Oryctolagus cuniculus: one gene and its partner. The main gene of each other region encodes a partner of the protein of the gene in region 2 in a complex. Links are inferred from orthologs where the notes say so. Each region holds a gene or a part of one and is shown on either strand. Other genes may lie near its edges.

What was found.
Region 1: the proteins of TOPBP1 (region 2) and PHF8 are in contact, whole or in part, in a crystal structure (PDB 7CMZ), measured with the Homo sapiens proteins. The link is inferred for Oryctolagus cuniculus from reciprocal best matches to the Homo sapiens genes TOPBP1 and PHF8. Residues at the interface, in NP_008958.2 of Homo sapiens: Gln1298, Cys1299, Arg1314, Asn1315, Glu1316, Leu1319, Arg1369, Ser1406, Arg1407, Gly1410, Phe1411, Arg1413, Leu1414, Arg1465, Thr1466, Glu1467, Ala1470, Asp1471, Gln1475, Asn1483, Tyr1484; in NP_001171825.1 of Homo sapiens: Gly842, Ala843, Cys844, Phe845, Asp847, Ala848, Tyr850, Ile851, Tyr852, Pro853, Ser854, Leu855, Glu856.

The regions. Positions count from the first base shown.
Region 1 is NC_091453.1:38,056,336-38,060,158, reverse strand, and holds part of PHF8 (histone lysine demethylase PHF8), read left to right. Parts: intron 1-543; coding exon 544-704; intron 705-1,636; coding exon 1,637-1,778; intron 1,779-3,165; coding exon 3,166-3,352; intron 3,353-3,823. UniProt on the Homo sapiens protein: Histone lysine demethylase with selectivity for the di- and monomethyl states that plays a key role cell cycle progression, rDNA transcription and brain development.
Region 2 is NC_091435.1:175,324,485-175,328,307, forward strand, and holds part of TOPBP1 (DNA topoisomerase 2-binding protein 1), read right to left. Parts: intron 3,555-3,823; coding exon 3,411-3,554; intron 2,697-3,410; coding exon 2,515-2,696; intron 1,762-2,514; coding exon 1,565-1,761; intron 1-1,564. UniProt on the Homo sapiens protein: Scaffold protein that acts as a key protein-protein adapter in DNA replication and DNA repair. Composed of multiple BRCT domains, which specifically recognize and bind phosphorylated proteins, bringing proteins together into functional combinations.

The DNA of each region.
Region 1 (3,823 bases), on a different chromosome or scaffold from region 2:
CTGTCCCAGGAGCATTAGTAGGAAGCTGGATCAGAAGTGGAGTAGCCTGGACCTAAGCCAACACTCACATGGGATGCTGGTGCCACAGGTGGCTGCTTGACCATGCACTGATCTGGCAACATGATTTTTAAAAAATTCCATATTTTCTAGTTAAGTATAAAATTTGTTTGTTTTTTTTTTTCTTTTAAGTTATTTCCTATTTTTTTTTTGTGCAATGTTTTAAATTGGATGCTATTGCTCTGGTTTAGAACAAATTAGCTAGATTTACCATATATGCTTTTTCTCCCTGGGTAGGCTATTGATTGATTTCTTCCTTTGTCAACCACAGAAGAACACCCTGTTGAATGGATTTTGCCCACCTTTTCTGGTCACCTGGCCTCTTGGACAGGTCATTATTCCCTGGCACATAAAGTTTATGCTATTAATTTCTAACTCACATTAGCTTCTCTCAGGAAGCCTCCATCCATTGAATGAGTGTGGTGAGTGTAGTAGCCCTTTGATAGGCAGGGCTCAGGCTTAGGCTTTCTCTCCTGTGGCCCACAGCTCAGATGAAGTGATCCTGAAGCCCACTGGAAGTCAGCTGACTGTGGAATTCCTGGAAGAGAATAGCTTCAGTGTGCCCATCCTGGTCTTGAAGAAGGATGGGTTGGGGATGACTCTGCCCTCGCCATCATTCACTGTGAGGGATGTGGAACACTATGTTGGTAAGAGGCCACAGACTCTCTCAGCAGTAACATTGTTCACTCCCTTCAAGACCCATGTCCCTTCCTCTTTAGTCTACTTTTTGCATTTCCTTTCTAGCCATCTTAGGAATCTGAGGTGATGTACCTTCCCTGAAGTCATTCTTTGGCAAAACTAGAGCCAAAATCTTACTCTTTTCTTCCTTTTCCTCTTAATAGACTACATAGCCCTATATGGAGCTGCATCTTTTTATCAGGGAAATTCTAGGGATCTTAGTCTCTCTGTCCTCTTGTCCTCTACTGAGATGATAATGCCTTTGACTTTTTTTTTAAAGATGTATTTATTTATTTGAAAGTCAGAATTACACAGAGAGAGATGGAGAGGCAGAGAAAGAGAAGTCTTCCATCCACTGGTTCACTCCCCAGTTGGCTACAATGGCCAGAACTGCACCAATCCAAAACCAGGAGCCAGGAGCTTCTTCTGGGTCTCCCATGAGGGTGCAGGAGCCCAGTGACTTGGGCCATCTTCTGCTGCTTTCCCAGGCCATAGCAAAGAGCTGATTGGAAGTGGAGCAGCCAGGACTCCAGCTGGTGCCCATATAGGATGCCAGCACTGCATGTGCCACAGCGCTAGCCCCAATGCCTTTGACTTTTACCCTTACATACCAGTTGAGTTTTGGGGGGAGAGGAGGAGAAAAATTGATTAACACGGCTGACCCTAGCAGGTGACTGTACTTTGTGTGAGGCTGTGAGTCAGGTAGTTCTGTAACTCTAGCAATACTGGACCTACCACAAAAGTATGATGGATTCTTGCTCCTGCTCCCCAAACCCACACAATACCTGTACATACAATGTCTGAGGAGAGAAGCCTTGAGCAAAAAGCCATTCTATGGACTGGTAAGGGACTGAGAGTTTTCTCAAGACCACCTGGAGCAGAACTTGTCTCTTTACTTCAGGTTCTGACAAAGAGATCGATGTGATTGATGTGACCCGCCAGGCTGACTGCAAGATGAAGCTTGGTGATTTTGTGAAGTACTATTACAGTGGGAAGAGGGAGAAAGTCCTCAATGTCATTAGTTTGGAATTCTCTGACACCAGGTAGGAGGGGCAGGGGTAACAAAAAAGCATGACGAATTGTCTAGAACTTATGATATACTGAGTATCTTTTCTGTGTTCTTCTCCCTTCCTCTTTGTGGTTTCTTCCTTTGAGATGGGGAGCCGAGTTACAGTTTCTAGGGTAGCAGCTTTCATTATAACAACCAAGTCATAATATTTCTTCTGTATAATTTCTAACATTGGATAAATTACACAGTAGCTATTTTAATTTATTTTTATCACCTTCAAGATCTAGGGCAGCTTTCTTTGACCTTTTTCTGTTATTTAGATTGTGGCATGGTCACTGTTTTGACTACCAGGATAAGTCCTTTGTCTAAATTTACTAAATTTACCAAGTAGGTTGTCTAAGGATAAGCATTTGGATTGAAAAAGAAAAGGAAAAGGCTGTATCATAACATTTAAATGATTCTGTCTAGACTTCCACACTCAATAGATAAATAGTCTTCTCAGTGCTCAGAACTGAGGGAAATACCAAGAAATCACATGTCTTTTTGCTCTTAGGAAGCTTGCTGTATGCTCATTTACATTTTTTGACTTTTAGTTTTGAAATAATTAGATATTCCCAGGAAGTTGGTCATGTGTCTTCTTCCAGTGTTCCACATAGTAACATCTTACATTATTATAGTACAATATTAAAACCCTTGCTTTTGTTTTTAAAATACTAGGCTAAACAACCTGAAGATGTTTAAAAACTGTTTCTTTATGCCTCACTTCTGAAAGATGATTTGAGGTAGCTTACAGAGAATGCAGTGAGGTAAAAAAAAGATAATTAGGACAAAAGAAATTTCAGGTATTGAAGTAGGATGCATCTGGTGGGTACTCTGCACATAAAATGTATATAATGAATGTTTTGATAATTGATAGAGATGTATTATAGAGTTTTCACTGAATTTCCTGAAGGTCAGAATAAAGGAGAATGCAACGTTTTTAAGATTTGTGGTTTTACATAGGATAAAAACAACCGGATGTTTCAGAAAAACACTTCTTTACCTGTAACTAAGCCCTGAGAGGTTTCCCTAATGGTTTCTCATAAAGAAGACACTATGAGGTGAGGACAGCACAATAACTTATAAATCAAGGGCCAAGTGAGTAGACTGGTATTGGAGGGTGAGTATGATGAGCATTTAGTAGAGAAAATGACCACCTTCCACTGGGGAAGGCTGTGCAGCTGGAACTTGGGACTTCTGGAGCTGAATGGAATGAGAATGCTGACCAGAATTACAGAAATAAGTATCCTATGTGCCTTTGGGGATTCTATGGAATGAACTTGTTTTCCGTCTTATTTGATCTGACTGAGATGCAGGGTATTTTATTCAGGCTCCAATCCCTGATCAGCTGACATCTACTTTCACTCTCTCTTACTTGCTAGGCTTTCTAACCTTGTGGAGACACCCAAGATTGTTCGAAAACTGTCATGGGTCGAGAACTTGTGGCCAGAGGACTGTGTCTTTGAGAGACCCAATGTGCAGAAGTATTGCCTCATGAGTGTGCGAGATAGTTATACAGACTTTCACATTGACTTTGGTGGCACCTCAGTCTGGTACCATGTGCTCAAGGTATGACTGGATATGGCTTCTAGAGGTAAACAGGCCTTGGGCCCCCTTCTTGTATCAGGTGTCAGCACAAAACAGGCTGCTATGGACCACATACTTACCACATTCTGTTTGGGTAACATTTCCATATAACTGCTTTGTCAGAATTTAGTATTTGGTAGATGTGCCATACACCCTGATGATTGTTTGTCTGTACAGTTTATCAAAATTGTTTTGAAAAGCATCAAATGTCTATGGTTTTTCCAACTGTTTCCTTCTTTAATTGAAGCGATTTATGCTCCTACCAACATGTGTGGTCCTTCAGACCACATATGTCCTTCAGAAATTCCTAGTAACATGAGAGTTCCTCCTCCCTCTCCCCTTCATAGAGTAATTATTTATTTATTTATTTTTAACAGAGTGGACAGTGAGAGAGAGAGAGAGAGAAAGGTCTTCCTTTTGCCGTTGGTTCACCCTCCAATGGCCGCTGCGGCC
Region 2 (3,823 bases):
AGCCACAGACTGTGACGCAGACATCCCATATGGGCTGGTTCACGTCCCAGCTGCCCCACTTCCAATCCAACACCAATGGCCAGGGAAAAGCAGTGGAAGGTGGTCCAACTGCTTGGGCTCCTGCCATCCATGTGGGAGACCTGGATGAAGCTCCTGGCTCCTGCCTGGCCCAGTGCTGGCAGTTGTGGCCATCTGGGGAGTAAACCAGCTGATGGAAGATCTCTCTCTTTCTGTCTTGCCCTCTCTATGTAACTCTAAATTCCAAAAAATAAATAAAACTTAAAAAAAAATGAGTACTGGTAAAAAATATTCTGCAAAAGAGATACAAAGATTATAGAATGCCAAAAGTTTAAAGAATTCATATTTGGAGTAATTTTTTTTATTTTACTGCCTCATGTTCTGCAAGGTGTATCTTCAATTTAAACTTCTAGTCAATTTGCTGCAACACAGATGGAACTAGAGGACATTATGCTAAGTAAAATAAGCCAGGACAGAAAGACAAGCATTGCTTGTTCTCATGTAATGTAGATGCTAAAGACACTGATTTTTTTTTTTTTTTTTTTTTTTTTTTTTTTGACAGGCAGAGTGGACAGTGAGAGAGAGAGACAGAGAGAAAGGTCTTCCTTTGCCATTCGTTCACCCTCCAATGGCTGCCGCGGCCAGCGCACTGCGCTGATCTGATGGCAGGAGCCAGGTACTTATCCTGGTCTCCCATGGGGTACAGGGCCCAAGCACTTGGGCCATCCTCCCTGCCTTCCCGGGCCACAGCAGAGAGCTGGACTGGAAGAGGGGCAACCGGGACAGAATCCGGCGCCCCGACCGGGACTAGAACCCGGGGTGCCGGTGCCACAGGCAGAGGATTAGCCTAGTGAGCCGCGGCGCCGGCCCAGACACTGATTTTCTAACAAGAGAGCAGAACAGAGGTCAGTGGAGGCTGTGAAGGGCAGGGAGTGAGGGAGAACAGACAGGCATCAGAATGCAGATAGAGGAAGAGTAGTGCTAGTCTACAGCAGTGGGGTGACTGCAACAATTTTGAAGGATCCCAACACAAAGAATCAATGTCTAAGAAGACGGAAATGTTAGCTACCTTGATTTGATTATATATTGTACATGTACCAAATTCTCACATTGTAGCCCATAAACATGCACAGTAAAAAACAAAAAAACTTCTAGTTCATTCAGTCAGGTTGATTCACTCAATTAAAAATAAAGTCAGTTTTTTAGTCATTAAAAGAAGTGTCATTTGGCTTGACCTCTCAGTTTTCTTGTCATTCACCCAAACTTCTTTTAAGTACCTGACAACTGTAGAAGTGGTTTTTCTTTCTTTTTAACAAAATATCATAAGAGGTTTAAAACTTTTAGTTTTATTTGTATTTAATCAATGACCTGGAGAAACACTAAGATGGTTATATAATCTTTTCTCAAACTGTACCCAAACTATCTTTTCAAGATTTTAGGGAAAAAAATATTAAACTAGGTTAAGAATATGTCAGAAGCAATAGTTTTAAACGTTACATACTAGAGAAAAGCTTGCCATCTGTCCCTTTGTGAAACACAGTTTTACCTTTTGGTTCTTGAACAATGAGGTGTGTACATTCATTCATTTTCAATTGTCCCATGTACTGGCCTCCATGCTTAACCGTCAGTTGTTGAACTGTCTTCCTGTCTAAGCCACACAAGCCAGTCACACAGATTATGCAACCAAGAAAAATAGGACACTTGAATTCTTCCATGTTTATATCAGTATATCTAGCTATTTTACTGGGAAAAACAAATGGTAGAAAGAAATACAAATGATCATATGAAGTATGCCAGGTAATTTTAAATTTACAGAGTAATGACAATCAACAGAAATCCCACTACTGCTTTTCCTCAATTCAGTGTCCTGAACTGACACTCAGCTCAATACCAAGTCTCTAATATATTGTTTCAGATACAACCTCAAATAAAAACTGTTTCAAGGGAAAAAAATATGTATTTCATTAACATTAAGCCTTTGTTGGTCAAAGCAGTATATTTTCAACACTTGTATCAAACACATGGGCCAGGTTCACAAAATGCGCTCAATTAACATTTATTAAATGATCACATCTCAGCTGATAGCTTACATATGTTCATATTCAGTTTTACATATACCCTTTTTAAGGGGTATACATTGCCAAAATGGCTATTTATTTTCCATCTTAACATCCAGGAATGGTGTTTAAGGATAATGCAACATAAGAGCTACAGAGTTGCCAAATGGATTTTCTCAATTATTTTAGGAGCATTTAGTAGTAAAAACTAACTTTATTATCAAAAGATTTCTTACCTTGTACCTAATGCTAAACCCATACTCCATTCAACCTGTCAATTTACACTTGATAATAAGAGCTTATACATTTTGCTCTTCTGTTTTCATTCAATAAGCCCCAATTTTCTCTCTGAATAACTAATCCAAAGGGGATATAATAAAGCTCCCCTATGAAAACCCAGAGTATGCACCCTTTTTCCAATCTAGAAAAGATCTCTTACTTCTCTTGTGACTTCTCCCAAAGTGCTTCTATCCAAGAGGGAAGCAAAATAGGTTTCTTTAGGTTTGCAGCAACTAAGTATTTTTTGCTGCCAACTTCTCCTGCAATAAGATGAGTTACTGATATATTAAGGTCTCTGAATACTCGTCCGCCCATCATTTGTGCATATTTATGAACTTCATCCTGCAGCCCCAAAAAGAAAATAGTAAGATAAATATGAATTACTTTCCTGTATTTACGCAACTATTTGAGTTTATTAAACTATGTTGTTTCTGTAATAAAGATTATATTCATATACACTATACATATACAGAGTGAGTATAGAAGTGCTTCTGGTTTCAGATTTTGAAATATTTGCAGATACAAAATGAGACATCTTGGGGATGGGTGTTTCATATACACCTCATACATACAGCCTGAAGGTAATTTTAAACAATAATTTTAGTGCACCTGTGTTTTAACTGTGACTTGTTAAATGAGGTGAAGTGTGGAATTTTCTACTTGTGGTGTCTTGTCAGTAAAATTGGGGATTTTGGGGTATTTCAGATTTCAGATTACGGATGCTCAATTTTTTATAGTTTAAAAATATAAATATTTTTAAAATACAAATTATGTATCAATATATTTATACAGCTCTAAGAATTTTTTTAAGGCAATCCATCTAATGTGGGAAAATGTGATTTATTAACTGTGGAAGGAAAACAGTTTTGAAGGGAAACATAAAAACTCTTAATATGAATTCTACTATATACAATTTATTAAGAAAAAAGGTATACTATACTGTTGTATGTTGAACTCTTAAAAATATGAAAATTAAGTTTAAGGTCTTTCAAAGTATCTTCTACACTGAAAAGTTAAGTATGATAATAAACAGATCATGATATTCCTAACACCTACCCTTTTATCTTTTTCCAGGCTTGTACAAGATATAGTTACATCAGACATAACCATATTATAAACTGGATGTTCAGCCCTTGGGACACATCGCTGGTGTTGCATACAAAATATGACCACTTGAGGACCAACAATTCTGCAACCAAGCTACAAAAAAGAAAGTATTTTGGAAAATTAGCAAGGAAAAGACCACCAGTCTTACAAAATTACACTTTGTACTGTTTACCAATTCTTTACTGAGTTGATGAGTACTGCAGAAAAATGGAACAATTATTCTAAGAAAAAAGTAACAATCATTATAATTTCTCAGACACACTGTACATTACACATGCACACCCAAAAGCAAATGAAACAATTTACACTATCAAATAAGCTCCTAGAACGCCTCAAAACTTTCATCTCTGGAATCAACATGA